3 linked regions of the Ovis aries genome follow. The protein of the gene in region 1 interacts with the protein of each later gene in a pairwise test. Links are inferred from orthologs where the notes say so. Each region holds a gene or a part of one and is shown on either strand. Other genes may lie near its edges.

Region 1 (4,775 bases):
AGAGAGGCCCAGTTATACTCAGGTGGGTGACAGGAGACAAAACCATTTGGAAAAAGGAGTAAAAATCCTTATCAACCTAACTACTATTCACTAACTATCATTCACTATTATTGTGAATGATTTTGGAAAGTGCCTTAATTTGAATCCTTTAGGTTACATTTATTTTTTAAAAAATGATAATAATCACAAAAAATTTGTTATTTCTATGTGTTTGTAATATTTGCTTCCTAAAAGGCCTCACATCTGAACCCATGGACCTTTGAAAGAGGAGGAAATTGAATTCAGGTGCTAGGAAGGATTATAGAGTTGAAACTACAGTTTCCAAAAATTAGCGCACTGCCACTGCTGGTACACTGGTCCACTGCTGTGCCCACCCAGCCTTGGGCAGTGTGTGGTTTACAAAAGCATTGGTCTAAAAAGATTGAGCTTGCCTCTTATTCTGAGAGCTAGGGAAAGTCTAGGAAAAATCTGGAGTCATCCCTTCTCTGTCTGAGCTCTAGAGTTGAAACTCTCCCTCCCCTTGACAGTCACCTTCACCTGAGGTTCACAGACTGGGTAAATCTATGATCTCAAACTCATCTGAGGTTTGTATTCACATGACCACCTTCTATTTCATGGGATCTTCTTCATGGACAAACAACATGTGTGTTAGTTGCTCAGTCGTGTCCACCTCTTTGTGACCGCATGGACTGGGGCTCGCTGGGCTCTTCCATCCATGGGATTCTCCAGGCAAGAATACTGGAACAAGTTGCCATTTCCTTCTTCATCATGAACAGAGGGACTCTACAAACAATGGGTCTTCTTTCATTAATGTCCCCTGGTTGTGATCCATATTTAATTCTTTCAAGATTGAATATGTTGCTTATGTCTTACATTTCCTAATATTGCACAGGGTACAGTAGAGGGAACCAAAGAGCATAAGGCACTGACCTACCCTTGGAGCTAAATGTCTGGTTGGAGGTATGAGGTCTACCCATGACTTGAGGGAATAAATGGGAACTGTTGTGAACACATTGTTGAACCACGAACCACGCCTCTGAGGTTCTTGGTCACCTCCACCAGTTGTCATGAGCCTTTTGTGGGAGACAGTCAGCCTACCTGAACTATGGTTCAGAGAGATAATGTTAGGGAATCTTCCTTCTGAACAAGATAAGAAGAACAAGTGAGAGAATATGTCAGTGATTTTAAAACTGGAAACCACCACGATTGTCAGATGCATGTGGCACTATTTAGTGTCTTTATCTGATATAATGTGAATATCCATATGTTTCACAGCAGATCTGTTAGTATTGGTTGTAGAGTGCTACACCACACCCTCTCTGTCTAAATACTGTAAACTTCTGGACCCTGTGGCTTTCGGATTAAGGGGTTGGACATACACATAAGAAAACCTTAAATTCAGCTTATAACGGATATTGTGGTTTAAAATGTGGAAAAGCAAGGTAAAAATTTCAGTACTTCCAGTATATCCTAGCTAAATGAGATAACTACCTAATCCAAACAGTAATTTTGGGAATGTCAGCTTCAGGGTGGACTTAAATGTATAAAATGAATGTGTCTTTGCTGGAGAGCTCTTACTCTCTTCTCAGGGATAGGAGAAAAGCTGAGTGTTCAGAGTGGGCTGTCCTGGTGCTTGGCTAATCCTCCTCTGCCCCTGTATTTCTCTGCAGTGGATGTGACTCTGGACCCAGACACAGCCTACCCCAGCCTGATCCTCTCTGATAACCTGCGGCAAGTGCGGTACAGTTACCTCCAGCAGGACCTGCCCGACAACCCTGAGCGGTTCAATCTGTTTCCCTGTGTCTTGGGCTCTCCATGCTTCATCGCTGGGAGACACTATTGGGAGGTAGAGGTGGGAGATAAAGCCAAGTGGACCATAGGTGTCTGTGAAGACTCAGTGTGCAGAAAAGGTGGGGTAACCTCAGCCCCCCAGAATGGATTCTGGGCAGTGTCCTTGTGGTATGGGAAAGAATACTGGGCTCTCACCTCCCCAATGACTGCCCTCCCCCTGCGGACCCCTCTCCAACGGGTGGGGATTTTCTTGGACTATGATGCTGGCGAGGTCTCCTTCTACAACGTGACAGAGAGGTGTCACACCTTTACTTTCTCTCATGCTACCTTCTGTGGGCCTGTCCGGCCCTACTTCAGTCTGAGTTACTCTGGAGGGAAGAGCGCAGCTCCTCTGATCATCTGTCCCATGAGTGGCATCGATGGGTTTTCTGGCCATGTTGGGAATCATGGTCATTCCATGGAGACCTCCCCTTGAGGAGGTGAACTCAGGCCAGAAGGGCTGCTGGCTGTACTCCCACCCCAGGCATGAGGCATCTTGTTGCCTTGCCACTTCCTGCCCATCACAGCTGGATGTTCTTACCACTTTCCGTGCCCTGCAGTGCAAGACAGGATGTCTGTGTTCTCTGCCATCCCCCCCTTCCCATGAAAATTGTGAGATGTAATAAGTTATCGAGATTGCCCAGAAATAAAAACCAGATGTCCACCTCCAGTGTTCCACACTTCTTGGTCTTATACATTACTGGAGGGGATAAAGAATATGGATAATCTTGGGTTAGGAGAGCCATTCAAGATTCTTACACCTGGGCTCAGCCCCATATAGTGATCATGGGTATTTGCTGTCGTTTCTGAACCAGGGCTTCTTTCTGAGAACCCACAGCTGGACTAAAGTCCTGTCAGCATGGATCCCTTTGTCCCAGTTTTTCCTTTGGGATTAGTACCTCTACCCCTGATTCCCAATCTGCTGTAGTTTTATTAACTCCATTAAAGAGGCCTGTATGTGTTTTGATTAGTTACAGTTATTTTACAGTAATGGTGGGAAATAGCCCCACCTCTGTTAGGAGATAATATTCTAATCAATGTGCTCTTTGCCTCTATCTTTTTGAGGGCTTTGTCAGCTCCCTTCATTCTAATGAAAAGTGTATCCTAGTCCTGGATGCACATCATCCGGGATTATTTTCTGCTCAACACCACTCATTGTTCCTACCTCCCATCCCACTTCCATTTGTGGACTGATGGTCAGTCATACCCTATCCCTGGAAGGATTCTGGGGCAATATTCCAGGGGATTCATTGACTTGTCTCCATTTCTCCCTTCTATTTCAAGGGAAGAGGGAGTTTACCTTTCTGATGTGTGTACCATCAAGGGGCTATTCCATCCCTATGGCCATTGGATCACGAGGCATTCTGAGGTCAGAAAGCCAAGGCAGATCACTTAGCACAAGCCCCCATGATGGTTCTTAGTCTTCTCTTTCTTTGGGTACATGCTCCTCTGTTTAAAAATAAAGTGAGTATGGATGTTGTTTACACTGTTGTTATTTTCTGGGTCTTGGTAGGACTGGGTTCATAGATATTGGAGGAAATCAACACTATTAACCTCTATGGTTTGAGAATCTCATTCTGGTCAGTATTTTACTTTCAACTGGATGATAAAAACAGTACCATGTCACTGCTTTCTACTGGTGCTTGGAAACTAGTGTTGGACTTCCATAGCCTACAGCTTTGTATTGGCTAATCCTGTCACGTCTCTGGAAAAGTGTTCTCTCAAGTGCTTATAACTGACAGTGGGGTATGCAGCAATGCTTGGTATAGATCAGAGCGCCCAGAGCTTGCTTCCCACCTCAGAAGCAGCAGCCTAAGCCCTTAGGGTCATGGAGGGCACCACATTCTAAGGAGGAAAAATATGCTGAGAGGACAGCTCTTTTCCAGGAGGTTTTCGATCTTTTCTGCTTTTGGACATGACCTCAAGATGACAAGATTTTGTGGTCTTAGTCTTGTACCCAACATTGTGGTTCATGGCTGAAGATCATGCATTGGTGATATGTCCTGATTCATTTATTTATTCAAAAGGTTTTAAGAGAAATAACCAGGAGCTTCAGAGAGGGGCTTCCATGAGGCTAGGTTAGCTTTTGCTGAATAGTCTCAATAGATATAAATACATGTGCTAACAAACGACAGAGGATGAGATGGCTGGATGGCATCACTGGCTCGATGGACGTGAGTCTGAGTGAACTCCAGGAGTTGGCGATGGACAGAGAGGCCTGGCGTGCTGCGATTCATGGGGTTGCAAAGAGTCGGACACGACTGAGTGACTGAACTGAACTGAACTGAACATATATATATATTATGTATATAAAATACTACTACACAGATAAAGAGCAATGCTCAGCACATAGTATGAAGTGCTTTGTGTACAATGGCTTATTTAATGCTCTTAACAACCCTACAAGATAAAGTAGATACTGTTGCCTTTATTTTACACAAGAAAATTGAAGCATAGAGAGGGTAGTGATTTATCCAAGGTGTACAGTTAGGAAGCAACAGGGCCAGGATTCAGACCAAGGTGAAATACATGTCCACGTACATCGTATCCTGCCTCACAATATCTATGGATTATGCTTTTCTGCATGGAAAGGTAGAGACTGAGGCCTTGGGGTGCCAGTCTGTTGACCTGGGATACCAGCCTTTAACAGTAAGTCTGTCTACTCTAGATTCAAGAATTCGCAACTGGAAAACTGGGTGAAGAGACCCAGTCAGAATTGCATTTCAGTTTTACTTAATATAGTCCATTGGGACAAGGAGGAAGAATAAGAGCCCATAAAGAGGGCACCTTGCTTGGTACCAGTCCCAAGAAAATGTGCTCCTAGGAAAGACTCCCTGATCCTTGCTGCTCAACTGATGGAGCTGTCTCCAGGCTAACAAAAGGTCTCACACGGGGTCTGCTTTATCTCTAGTAGACTCAGTACTAATAGGAGCAGCATCTTAATG
Region 2 (6,226 bases), on another chromosome or scaffold:
AATGAACCAGATCTTCTGTGTGGAGCCTCTTTCCAAAGCGGCTGGAGTGATCTCTTTCATCCCAGCACAAGATGCAAATTTAGAAACAAGGCGAGCAACGTGATTTCATCTACTTAGGCAAACCAATGGGAGGATCTCTTTGGTTTTCACCTCTCGAAGTTTGGGGTTGTTCTTTTTCCAGTGTTCATACAAAAGTCGTTCAGCAATCTGCCAAGAAAACACAAAGAGGGGAGACTGACATCGCTCTTCCAATCCATCCATGTTTCAGGTAACCCACAGTGAAGTCAGGTGAGCCTAAGAGCTCCTCCACTGGCAGCCAGCACCGCACCTGCCCTTCAGGCTTCCCTCGGGCCTCAGGAGGTGTCTGGCTCTCAACAGACACCAATCAGGTGCTGATAAATGACTCATTTCTTTGGCTACGCCAAACGACTTGTGGGATCTTAGTTCCGTGATCAGGGATTGAACCTGGGCACTCAGCAGTGAGCGTGGAGTCTTAACCACTGGACCACCAGGGAGTTCCCACAAATGACTCTTATAATGGTGATAAAAAGGGGCCAAAATCTGATGCTACAAATGGGTCCTAGATGCTAAAGATCTACTTCAAAATATACAGCAGGCTTAAAAACACAGCTTAGAGACCACCACTACACAGGACTACTTTGGAAGTTAAGTTAAAATACACCAGTCCCAGCCTTTCATGGGACCAGAGAACTAGAATAAAGAAAAGGGACTCAGATATAATGATTTAAGGGGCCCAAGAGAATAAAGATGACTCCTGGAAAATACACACGAACAACGACTCAGAGTCAGCACTTTTCTCAGCTGGCTCTGTAGTGAACTGCCATCTCGGCCCCTGAGGGAGACGCCTCGTGGCCTCACCGACAGGCCGGGGACTCGGGCTTCGCACCCTGCTGAAGAGCTACGCGGAGTTACCAGCTTCCTTTGCTCCTCTCGGGCCGCCTTCAGGTTCCCGTGCTGCTCCCGGATTCTCCCTTCCCTCAGGTTCATGCTCAGCCTCAGCTCCTCCAGTTGTCTGGCCAGCAAGTCCTGCTCCTCCACCAGAAGCTGCCTGAGTCTCTGCCGTCGGGCCTCCAGACGCTTCCTGCCCTCCTCCTTCATCTTCTCCCGCTGGTAAGCATGCATGCTGGGCGAGAGGGGCCACCATCAGCCTGGATGCTTCCAGCTGCACAGGGGCTACATGGCTGGCTGTGTGGGTGACAGGCTGAGACACATGGAACATGGTGACCTGGGAAGGCGTCCTCCAGCCAAAGTGAACAGGCCAGGTAATAGAACCACTATGCATAATAGAATCTTGTTCTTGCAAGGAAATGTACAAGAGGCGTATCTATGCACATGGTAATATTATCTGAGTAGTTACCATGTACTACATAACCTGGATGGTTTTTATAGTAGTCATGACATAAATCCTATAAATTAGGTTCTGTTTTAGCCCCACTTCACTGATGAGGAAACTGAGGCTCATTCATACAGCAAGTGACACAGTCAGAATTGCTATCTAGGTCTGTCCGACTCCAAAGCCCATAGTCAGAATTGCTATCTAGGTCTGTGTGACTTCAAAGCCCATGCTTTTAACTTCCGTGTTTTCGTATGTATCTCTCTCTATAAAAATGGGTGTATGCTTGTATCTATATTTACACACAAAAACAGATGAAGAAGTGTACGGGAGGTTACGGACCAGACAGTTCACGGTGGTTCTCTCCTGGGGAAATGGGGCTACCGGGGGACTTCCGGATTCTACATACACGTCTCATCATCTTATCTTTTTCAGTCAAATGTGTTACTTCACTGCTGACCTTCTTTTCAGTTTCCAGTTGGAAAGACATCGCCATGCGAGTATCCACGGAAATCATCACATTTCCATGCAAGTATCCACGCCGGCCAGCCACCCTCCCCCAGGTCCTTGAGTCAGTCACATCTCCCGGCAGTAGGTGGCCCTCCAGCCCTAAGGGAAGGTGCTCACCGCACAGTTACCTCCGCTGGTAGGAGGCCCTGGAGCTCCACTCTGCCTGTTTGGAGCTGCGGATGTCGGACATCTGGAAGTAGCGGCTGTTCTGGTCCCACTGCTGCCGAAGATGCGCCTCCTGCTCCTGGCGGCGCTGTCGGGCGGCCTGCTGATCTGGGAGCCGCCGGCTGCACCAGGAGGAGGGCAGCGTGGGGAGTGCCATCTGAGGAGAACAGCAGCGCTAAGAACAGGAGCCTGCTGCAGCTCCTCACCCCTTTGAGGCCCGGTCCTCACCCTGGGCTGCACACTGGGATCTCCTGGTAGAGCCTGGGCCCCAAGGCAGACCAATTAAGTAAAAAAAAAAAAATCTCAGTGCAGGCTCCCAGGCACCAGCATTTTAAAAATGACTTGCTACCAGGACCCCAAATCATCTAGCTGAAGAAGCCTGGACTGCACCCAGCTGTGAGCCTGACATCAGTAAGGGCAGTGCAGAGACAGGGAGCCAGTGCTGACGACACTGGACTGGCACACGGAGGGTTTCTGCGCTCTGCCTAAGGTAACAGAGAGGATAACTGCAGGCATGCGGATGTGGGCCAAGCCCTTGACTTATATGACCTTTTTCATTGTTACTAGCACCCTGCTGTTTTTGGCAGCTGAGGAAACTGAAGTTCAAAGAGGTAAAATGACTTGAAGATCACAAAGCCAGGAAGCAGAGGAAATTTAAACAGGAGCTGGGAGCCTAATTCATGTTAGCCTGGGATGAGGGCCCAAGCTCTGTAGACTGCAAGATGGTACTTGTTGGGACCAACATGCCCTGGCTGTGAAGTGAAATGAAAGTCGCTTGCTGAAATCAAAGTCCTGTCCCACTCTTTGCAACCCCATGGACTGTAGCCCACGAGGCTCCTCTGTCCATAGTATTCTCCAGGCAAGGATATTGGAGTGGGTTGCTATCTCCAGGTGTCACACCTGGTAATGTTCTGGATGAGCATGGAGGGAGATCCCTCCTTCTTACAGATGGAGAAACTACCACCCAGAGGGAAGAATCAATTTGCACGGGTCAAGGGGGCGATCTGGGGACACGGGCGGAGACTCGAAAGCAGAACCAGTCTCTCCGGACATCTCCCCCCAACCACTCCCGGTCCAAAAGCTGCCCCAGGTGCAGGGTCTACACAGTGCCTGGCTGTGACAGTGCTCAAGGAGCTTCTGGCAAATAAACAAACTCAGAGTCCTCCGAACCGGGAGGAAAATGATCTGCGTCTATGAGTCAAGCTTAGCCTGAGACTGCCAGGTCAAATCTGTCTTCAGACTGTGGCAGGCCTGACAGACATTTTTCTTTGCCCCATAGGCCGCCTGCGGATAAATCTTTGCACGAGGATTGAGGAAAGTGAAGATTCCGGCCCCAGATGAACCATCAACAACAAGCTGGGAGGCTCTCTGAACAAGTCGCATCCCTCTCTCAGCCACATACAACAAAAGAGATTACAGAGGAAAGGGTCGGACCCAGGCCGCGCGGGGAGCCGAGTGAGGACTGGAAGCCGAAGCCCCGGGCGCCCCGCGATCGCGTCCCGGGACGGCGGGCGCGCTTCCCGCCAGCGCGGAGCCGACTGCGGCAGAGCTCTGAGGGTCCAGACCCCAACGCCGGCCCCCGACCGAGCCCAAACCCCCGACTCACGTTTCTCTGCGCGCCGGAGTTTCCCAAGACTGCCCCGGCCCAAGGTCCCGCAAGCCCCAAATAATCCCTGCCCGGGCCACGGCGACCCTCTCCGACAGCGCTGCACTTACGCCGGCCGTTTCCCCGCTCGTTGCCGAGGCAACGGGCCGGCGATGGAGCGCCGCGAGGGCCAAGCCTCCTGCAGCGCGATTACTCGGCGCGCAGAGCAAGAAAAGAAGTCTGTGTTTTTCTCCGATGCCCCCTCGTGGTGGGCGGGAGCTCAATCGCAGACATCGCTTGTCTAAGGAAAAGAATCCATTCACTACACCAAATTCAGGATGATGGCTACCTGAGGGAGGCAGGTGAGCGTCGGGGAAAATCAGAGGGATATAATAGGGAAGGGAATTATAAGCCAGTCACCCTCAAACCTGGCTGCACAAGAGAATCATCTGGAGAGCTCTGAAAAATCCAGATGTCCAAACCGGACTCCAGACAAACCCCATCGAGCACTCTGTGGTTGTCTAAGCCCCTCAGGTGTGTTCAAGGTGTAGCCAGCTCGAAGAACCGCTGATATAAGTAGGTTCGAGCTATTGGCAACTTTCTATTGTTTTAGGATGGTGGTGGGTTCAAGGGTGTTCCTTCTGTTAGTATGTTTTATAACTCACATGCTACGTGTATCATTCTATGTACCAACTATTCTCTTAAAAAATGAAATTAAAAGATTGGAAATTCCCCGGCAGTCCAATGGTTAAGACAGCCCACTGTCACTGCCGAGAGCCTGGGTTCAATCCCTGATTGGGGAGCTAAGATCCCACAAGCTCTGCAGTGTGACAAAAATAAATGAAAAGCAAAAGTATTAACTCTTTTATTCAGGCTCTTTTCATTTTCCCATTTTTGTCTTCATTTATTCTTTCCTTCACCCTTTCCTCCTTTTTTTATTTAAATTTTATTTATTTAGCTGCCTGGGGTCTTAGTCGCGGGCACTCCCATCTTCTAGTTGTAGCTTGTAGGGTTAGGTGCTCTGCCACATGTGGGAACCTAGTTCCCCAACCAGGGATCAAACTTGGGTCCTCTACATTGCAAGCTGGACTCTTAACCACCAGACCACCAGGGAAGGCCCGCCCGCCCGCTTCCTTCTTTTATTCAATTCTCTGTTTTCCCTGGATGCAGTATAAAGTCTGGTTGAACAGAGTGACCTCTGTTGCAGCCTCCACCACAACAGTCGTGTGGTCTGGACAGGTCACTTCGTCACTCTGAGCCTCCGTGTCCTCATCCGTGAAATAAGAATGTTCAAGTAATTGAAAAAGGAGCCCATTAGACTGGGAAGGCTGTGACACCTCCGTAGCCGATGCAGGTCAACCTAAACCTAGGCCAGAGCCAAAGCACCCAAATTGGAGAAAATGAAATTTAGCACTCACAAACAGCCAACTGGGCTTTCCCAAACAAGGCAACCTCTTAAGTTACAGCCAATCAAACGATTTCCTTGCTTTCACATCTTCTTTCTAAAAACCTCTCCTAGATCCTGCCGGTAGAGTGTTCTGAACACCTTTCTTTTGCCTGATTCCGATCAGCAAGTCTTGAAAGTTTTACTGTGCCTCAGATTAGCTTTAAATAAGAATACCGACAGGGCTGCTTTCTACAGTTGCCCTCATGAGAGGAAATGAAAGTTTAAATGGAGCGGCCTCGGGAGCAGAGCACCTGGTGCATCTCAGGAGAGCATGCGCTCGCATACCTCCCCCCCTTTTTTTTCTAGTTTTTTGGCAGCATGCAGGACATGCAGGATCTGAGTTCCCTGACAAGGGATTGCACTGCCCCCCTCTGTAGTGGAAGCACAGAGTCTTTACCACTGGACCACCAGGGAAGTCCCTCTCACATCTCCCTCAGAACCTGCCCTGCCCTGTGCGTGAGATCCTCTGGAGTTAGCCTGTGATTGGTCCCAACCCCTTGGGCCAAGCTCACGGCCAGTCACCCATCCTGTGTCCACAGCGGAGAAGGGAAGCAGCCACCCACTCTCCTCAGCCCAGCCAGAGCCATCCACATAGCAAAAGAGCCTGATTAAAATAAATAGTTGTTGATAGGCCTTCTTGAGTGTGATAGGAACTTCAGAAATGCGTGAATTGTGCTGTGGGAGACGAGCCTTCAGGTCCTGGTTTTGCAGCTCTTGGCAAGGGCCTTCCACTCTCTGGGCCTTAGTTGCCTCATCTGTATAATGGCCTTAAAGGACCAAACAAGCTCAACTGCTGGGATCAAGGGCCTAGGGCTTGACTGACCTTGTCCTGGAAGCCTGAGGCCCCAGGCCATACCCTCTGGCCTATCTTCTGGGACAGGACTGCAGCTTGTAGGTTGTGGAATTTGCCCAAGGAACCACAGCTTGTAGGTGGTAAGCCCAGGCCTGAACCCAGCTCTGTCTGATTCCAGGGCCTGAACTTGCTCTGCCGCTCCACAAGGTTAGGAATCATTACCTTCCCTGCTATGGTTCTAGCGCCCAGCACAGTGTAGTCATTTAATAAATATTCATCGAGAATGAATGAGTAGAGTCCCCCCAACTTTGAGCCCCTAATTTTTCTCCAAGAGAAAAAGGGAAAGATGGTGTTGAAGGAAAGCAAAAAGAA
Region 3 (6,428 bases), about 1.7 Mb from region 1:
GGGGAGGGAAAGGGCAATGAACAGAAATTCTCAGGAAAGTGCTTCGTAGAGAGGACTATAGAGGGCGTTACAAAGAGGGAGCATTTGGAGAACCGAAACATGAAGGGCACTCCAGCCATGCCTTTCGTGACTGCCCAACAGGAATGTTCTTCCCCAGCTCTGAAAGAAGCATGGGGAAAGGGGGAGAAACAGGGAATAGCAAAGTGAGGTGGGCAAAGCCTAGAGAGGAAGTGATAAGGCTCTTGAAAGCATTAAGGGACATGGCCTGGGGTCCCCAAGAGGAGGTGAAGGTAGAGAGTGTTTCCCACAGTCTTCTTGATCTTTTGTACCTTTTTCCAACTCCCGCTAGATGCCCGCCAGGGATGGCTGGCTGCCCTGCAGGACCAAAGCATCCTTGTCCCGCTGGTTTGGGATCTGGGGCTCCTGTTACTGTTTGTGGGGCAGCACAGCCTCATGGCAACTGAGACCGTGAAGGAATGGATGTCCCGGTACTTTGGGGTCCTTCAGAGGTCACTGTACGTGGCATGCACTGCCCTGGCCTTGCAGGTATGAAGCCCTGGCAGCTGAGTCCTCAAGGGAAACAGCATGTGTGAAGGATGTCATTGATTGGAGCTGCAAGAACCTCAGGCTTCGGATAAAGTGTGGGTTTAGGAGGAGAACTGAGGGTGTTCAGGACTAGTCTCAGCTCCCGTTATTTCACAGCACACATTTCTCCTTTTTATCAAGAAGTATGTACTGCTTGTCATCCCCTACGCATGATGTGTGCATTCTCACCTTTGCAACTTCGTTCCTGTTGTCCCGCTTGAGAGTGCCTTGGTAACACCTCTTCAGTCTTATCCTTTCTTCAAAAGCACTTCCCTAGATCTCAAGAGAAAGCTTCCCGGTTAGTACTCACCTGTCTCCTCAGTGGGTGCTTGGCATAGGCTATTTTGTGTGCCTATGTGGTCACCCTCATCCATTCTCTAAGTCCTCAGAGTGGAGACAAGTCATTCTTACATCCTTAGGACCCCACCCAGCACCCTCCACATGGTGAACATGCTCATGATAGAGGTGGGGGGAACAGCTGGCCAGCCTGGACTGGAGGCAGCCCCTGGGTCTGGGTCTGTCAAGGGTGGGCTGCTGGGAAACCCAGTTCCTCTTCCTTCCTCAGCTGGTGATGCGGTACTGGGAGCCTGTGCCCAGGGGTCCTGTGTTGTGGGAGGCTCGGGCTGAGCCATGGGCCACTTGGGTGCCCCTCCTCTGCTTTGTCCTCCACGTCATTTCCTGGCTCCTCATCTTCAGCATCCTTCTCGTCTTCGACTACGCAGAGCTCATGGGCCTGAAACAGGTGAGGCTCCCAGATCCCTACCCAAGACATCTGATCCTTTCTAGAATACCTCTTTCCCCTCCAAGGATGTCCCTGTGCCTCCCATTGTCTTCCACCTGCCTCTTGTTTTTGAGCCCTTCACCTCCCTTTCTTATAAGACAGTCTCCCCCCAGCCCTCCCTCAAAGGCTAGGAATCATGGGCTTCTTGGGCCTGGGAAGGTTCATGGGCCAGAGATGAGGGTCAGGGACCTCCAGTCTCAGGAGGGTGGTTCCTGAGCCTGTCATAGAAGGAGGGTGCCCAGGACGGGAGGAAAGAGGCAGTTAAGTTGTGACAAGGGCTTGGCTCCATTCCTAAGCCATTCTCCCTCTGCTAGGTGTACTACCATGTGCTGGGGCTGGGCGAGCCTCTGGCCCTGAAGTCGCCCCGGGCTCTGAGACTCTTCTCCCACCTGCGCCATCCAGTGTGCGTGGAGCTGCTGACAGTGCTATGGGTGGTACCCACCCTGGGCACTGACCGCCTGCTCCTTGCTCTCCTCCTTACCCTCTACCTGGGCCTGGCTCACGGACTGGACCAGCATGATCTCCGCTATCTCCGGGCCCAGCTACAAAGAAAACTCCACCTGCTCTCCCGGCCCCAGGATGGGGAGGCCGAGTAAGGGGTTAACCCTGGTTGCAAGCCCTGTACTTCCTCTCTCCCTCCTATCCCAAATTCCCTTAACATCTAGGCCTTGGCTGCTTCAGACCAGAGGCCCAAATCCATGGACTGAAGGAGTGGTCCCTTTCCTTGCTTGAGCCTCCACTCCTTGGTTCCAGCTCCATACTGAATTTCAGCCATTGGACTCCAAGGGCCACTTCTCACCAGCCAGGAAGGAGTGGCTGGGAACTTCTTCTCACAGTTCAGGGCTTGACCCTCCGTTAACAATTTCCTCACCAAGAGAAGAGTCTGGCTTGACCACTCCCTTAGCCCTGTTACTACCCTCTGTGCCTCAGGGATCCTTTCTCCACGTCTAGCTCCCTCCCAGGGGCTGGACCGAGGCCCACTGTCTGGCCTTTTCAGCTCCCTAGGCCCCGACCCTAGGCTCCATCCTCCTGAACCTAGTTGAGCGGTTTCTCCCGTTCTTAGCTAAGGTGACTAGAGGCTCCCTGCTTTCCCGAGGAACTCACGCTACAGGAAAATAAAATTCAGTCTGGTTTTTCTACGTGTAGAATGCAGTCTGTCAGTGTCTCTCAAAGCTGCAGGGCTGGCTCTGGGAAAGGCGAGTTACATTGGAGTCTGGGCATCGGCCGCGCCTTCTGGTGACCGCTGGGCGGCGGCCACTCCCCGCGCACCCAGCCCTCCACCCCCTTCCCGGAGCACCCGGTCCCCCTTCCTCCAAATCTCCCAATTTCCTTGCTGCAGACCCGGGTGGGGGACGGGCTGAAACGGAAGAGTGGGGAGACGGTTCGGGTAAGGGAGCGAGCTTCCGAAACCGTTGTCTTCCCAGCCCTGCTCCTGTGGCCGCCCCCTCCCCACGGGCCCCGCAAGCGCCCCCACGGTAACAAAGGCTGGCCCGGGAAGGCAAAAGCGTGGGGAGGAGCGGCAGGAGATGGGAAGGGCGGGCCCGGCTCCGAGCAGCTGCCGCTTCCTCCCGAAGTCCCTCGAGGGGTCTGAGTCACGGGCCGCCGCCCCGGCTTGGCTAGCTGGGGGTGGGGGTCTGGACACCTGGGCTGTCCAGGGTTACCGGGCGGCAGCCGCGTGAGAGGCCCTGGGGAAGGACCGCGGAGTGCCGGGGATCGCGGCGGGAAAACAGGAGTCCCGGGGCCGAGGATCCACGCGGGGGACCCGGGGAGCGAGGCTCCGCCCCCGCGCCCGGCTCCGCCCAGCGCCCCCTTCCCTCTCCCCATTGTCCTCAGACAAAGCGGCGGCCGCCCCCCGCTCGGCCCCCGGGTCTGTCTCCGTCCCTCCCCTTCTCCTCCCTTCCCCCCTCCCGCGCCCCCCGCGCCCCCCCCCACCTCCTGCCCCGGATCTCCCTCTATCCCTCTCTCCTCCTCTTCCTCTCTCCTCCTCTCTCCGGACGTCAGGCTCCTTCGCACCCCCTCCCCCGGGAGCCCCGCGGCATGTGAGTTGACCCAGGGGCTTCAGACTTGGGGAGGGGGTGTCCCCTCCCTTCCGTCCCGGGCGCGGACCTCGGGCTGCCTCTCCTCTCTTTGTGCCGAGATTGCCCGTCAGTGCGGTCATAGCCGGGTGGGGACGGCTGGCGAGGTCGGGGTTCCATGAGCGCCGAGACCCCGGCGCGAGACTGGCCGGCTCCGGAGAGAAGCGGTGTGGAGCCGGTGCTCCGTACGCCTGAGGCGCTCGCTCGCCCGGGACCCCGGGGCATCGCCGGTGGGGGAGGCCGGCGGCGGGGCCCGGACCGGGTTAGGGTTGGTGGGGGGTGGACGCCAGGGTTCTGGGAACGAGCTGGCAGCTCCGATCGCCGGGTTCCGAAAGTCCCCGGGGGAGGGTATTTCCCCTGGCCCGCCCCGGGGCGGAGTGCAGGGCGGAGGGGTGGGGGCTGGGGGGTCTGAGAGGCGTGGCTCAAGCGGAGCTGGAAGGGGAGCCCGGACCTCCGGGGCCCGCGCCGAGACTCGCCCGGCTACAGCCGCCGAGCTCCCTCGCCCCTCTGCCCCCGATTCCCCCTTCTCCCCTGGACCTGTCCACTCTCCGCCCTCCCACCTTCCCGACACCCCTTCAGGTCCCACTGCCCCCTCTCCGCCGGGGATCCCGCTGACCTCGCTTCCCACTCCCGCCGCTCCTGAGGTAGCGGTCAGGCAACCTCGGTCGGATCCTGCCCCGCTCACCCCCAGCCTCTCTTCTCTCTTCTCCCTCGTGCCAGCTTCTTTCGTTTTTCCCTCTTCTCACAACCTGGGGACTGTCTCTGATGCCCAGTAACCTGTACCCACAAATCTGACTCCTGTCTCTTTGCCCTGAATCTCCACTGTTCCTCTCGACCCACCTCCCCCAACCCCATCACCTGGCTCTTAGTTTCCTCTTCACTTTCTCAGGTTTTCCCCTTTCTCTGCTCCCCTCCGCCGCCCCCTTTCCTACTGTCCTCACCCTCAGCTCCTCTGTGACCCACCTCTCCCCCTGCTTCCTCTCCCCCACCCCCATTCTCACCTCCTGGGCCCCTCTGGAGCCTCTCCTTCCTGTTCTCTGCCCCCCAGCGTTCCCCCACCCTCCCCAAGGCGACCATGGCCACCATCCCAGACTGGAAGCTACAGCTGCTAGCCCGGCGCCGGCAGGAAGAGGCAGCCGTTCGCGGCCGTGAGACGGCAGAGCGGGAGCGGCTGTCGCAGATGCCAGCCTGGAAGCGGGGCCTTCTGGAGCGCCGCCGGGCCAAGCTTGGTCTGTCTCCTGGGGAGCCTAGCCCTGCGCCTGGGACTACGGAGGCTGGACCTCCAAACCCAGACGAGTCTGCTGTCCTCCTGGAGGCCATTGGGCCTGTGCACCAGAACCGATTTATCCGGCAAGAGCGCCAGCAGCAGCAGCAGCAGCAGCAGCAGCAGCAACAGCAGCGGAGTGAAGAGCTACTCACGGACAAACGGCCTGGACCTTTGGAGACCCGGGGGCGGAGACCCAGCCCCGGGGAGACACGGGATCCCAGCCCCAAGGGAAGAGAGTCCAGGGAAGAGCGGCTCAGTCCTAGGGAGGCCAGAGAGAAGAGGCTGGGGATAGGGGGCGCTCGAGAGTCGAGCCCCAGGCCTTTGGAGTCTCGGGACTGGAGGCAGAGCCCAGGAGAGGCTGGAGACAGGAGCTCTAGACTGTCAGAGGTGCGGAAATGGAGGCTGAGCCCTGGAGAAACTCCTGAGCGGAGTTTGAGACTGGCAGAGCCCCGAGAACAAAGCCCCAGGAGAACAGAGGTGGTGGACAGTAAACGGAGCCCCGAAGAGTCTGACAACCAGAAGCTGGGCCTGACAGACTCCCATAAATGGAGGCCTGACCCCAAAGAGTCTCCGGGACAGAGTTTGGGACAACTGGAGGCATCAGAGTGGAGGCCGAGTTCAGGAGAAGAAAGAAAAGACTGCTCAGAGGAATGGGGGAGAAAAGACGAGAGGCCGATTCCAAGAATGGACCCAGAAGGGACCACAGCGTCGTCAGAGACCCCAACAAGGGAGGCTCCAGACAGTCGCTCTGCAGGACCAGAGGGAGCAGAAGAAAGGCCCAGCCCCGTAGAGGATGGCGAGAGGGGCCTGCGGCCCCCGGAAGGATGGAAATGGACCCTGAACTCTGGGAAGGCCCGAGACTGGACACCCAGGGACACAGAGCCTCAGCCCCAGAAACCAGACACTCCAGAGTCTGTTGAGAAGCACGTGGGTCCTTTGGGTGCAGAGGCTGAGAAGGAGGAGGCGGGCGCTCAGAGCAGGCCTCTGGGCGCCCTGCAGGACCGCTGCTCTGCGCCCTCCCCCCTCTCCCCAGAGGACGCCGGGACTGGAGCCTCTAGACGGCAGGAAGAGGAAGCAGGGGAACTCCGGCCCCCACCCGCAGCCCCTCTGTCTCCCCCACCCCCAGCCCCACCTGCCCCCCAGTCCCTTGGGGATCCCCTCATGAGCCGGCTCTTCTACGGGGTGAAGGCAGGGCCAGGGGTGGGGGCCCCCCGCCGCAGCGGACACACCTTCACAGTCAACCCCCGGCGGTCCGCGCCCCCTGCAGCCCCTGCCACTCCAGCCGCCCCAGCCACAGCTGACACGGCGGTCCCTGGGGCTGGGAAGAAGCGGTACCCGACTGCCGAGGAGATCTTGGTTCTGGGGGGCTACCTCCGCCTCAGCCGCAGCTGCCTTGTCAAGGGGTCCCCTGAAAGGCGCCACAAACAGGTAGGGAGCAGCCAACCCAGACTTCTTGGCCAGCCCCCCATCACTGCTCTGTGGACTCCTGTCTCTCTCCCTTTTTTTATACCTCTGTATCCTTGTCTTCATCTATTCTTGTTCATTCCTGCTGCCACCCTTCCTCCCCTGAACACACACCCTTCCTTCTTGTGGCCCTTCTTTTCCATTCATTTCCCAGCCCAAGGAGCCTGCTCCGCAATCAGGCTCGCTGTCCTGGGTGTGTCTCTCTCAGGGTGTGCCCAGGCTCCTCACTCTTCTCTCCCTCAGGCTCTGAGTTCAC

What was found.
Region 2: the proteins of TRIM27 (region 1) and TCHP interact in binary tests that used the Homo sapiens proteins (3 or more experiments, as listed by UniProt). The two-hybrid records come from large-scale screens. The link is inferred for Ovis aries from reciprocal best matches to the Homo sapiens genes TRIM27 and TCHP.
Region 3: the proteins of TRIM27 (region 1) and PPP1R18 interact in binary tests that used the Homo sapiens proteins (3 or more experiments, as listed by UniProt). The two-hybrid records come from large-scale screens. The link is inferred for Ovis aries from reciprocal best matches to the Homo sapiens genes TRIM27 and PPP1R18.

Annotation. Positions count from the first base shown.
Region 1 is NC_056073.1:29,130,118-29,134,892, forward strand, and holds the end of TRIM27 (zinc finger protein RFP), read left to right. Parts: coding exon 1-22; intron 23-1,670; coding exon 1,671-2,266; 3' UTR 2,267-3,314; downstream 3,315-4,775. UniProt on the Homo sapiens protein: E3 ubiquitin-protein ligase that mediates ubiquitination of various substrates and thereby plays a role in diffent processes including proliferation, innate immunity, apoptosis, immune response or autophagy.
Region 2 is NC_056070.1:63,503,167-63,509,392, forward strand, and holds the start of TCHP (trichoplein keratin filament-binding protein), read right to left. Parts: upstream 3,749-6,226; 5' UTR 3,636-3,748; intron 2,187-3,635; coding exon 1,993-2,186; exon of another isoform or gene 1,982-1,992; intron 1,145-1,981; coding exon 934-1,144; intron 208-933; coding exon 151-207; intron 1-150. UniProt on the Homo sapiens protein: Tumor suppressor which has the ability to inhibit cell growth and be pro-apoptotic during cell stress. Inhibits cell growth in bladder and prostate cancer cells by a down-regulation of HSPB1 by inhibiting its phosphorylation.
Region 3 is NC_056073.1:27,437,092-27,443,519, forward strand, and holds the start of PPP1R18 (phostensin), read left to right. Parts: upstream 1-2,680; 5' UTR 2,681-2,753; exon of another isoform or gene 2,754-3,405; intron 3,406-4,489; 5' UTR 4,490-4,516; coding exon 4,517-6,136; intron 6,137-6,428. Other genes in the region: NRM (nurim), read left to right, coding at 350-546, 1,151-1,327, 1,681-1,962.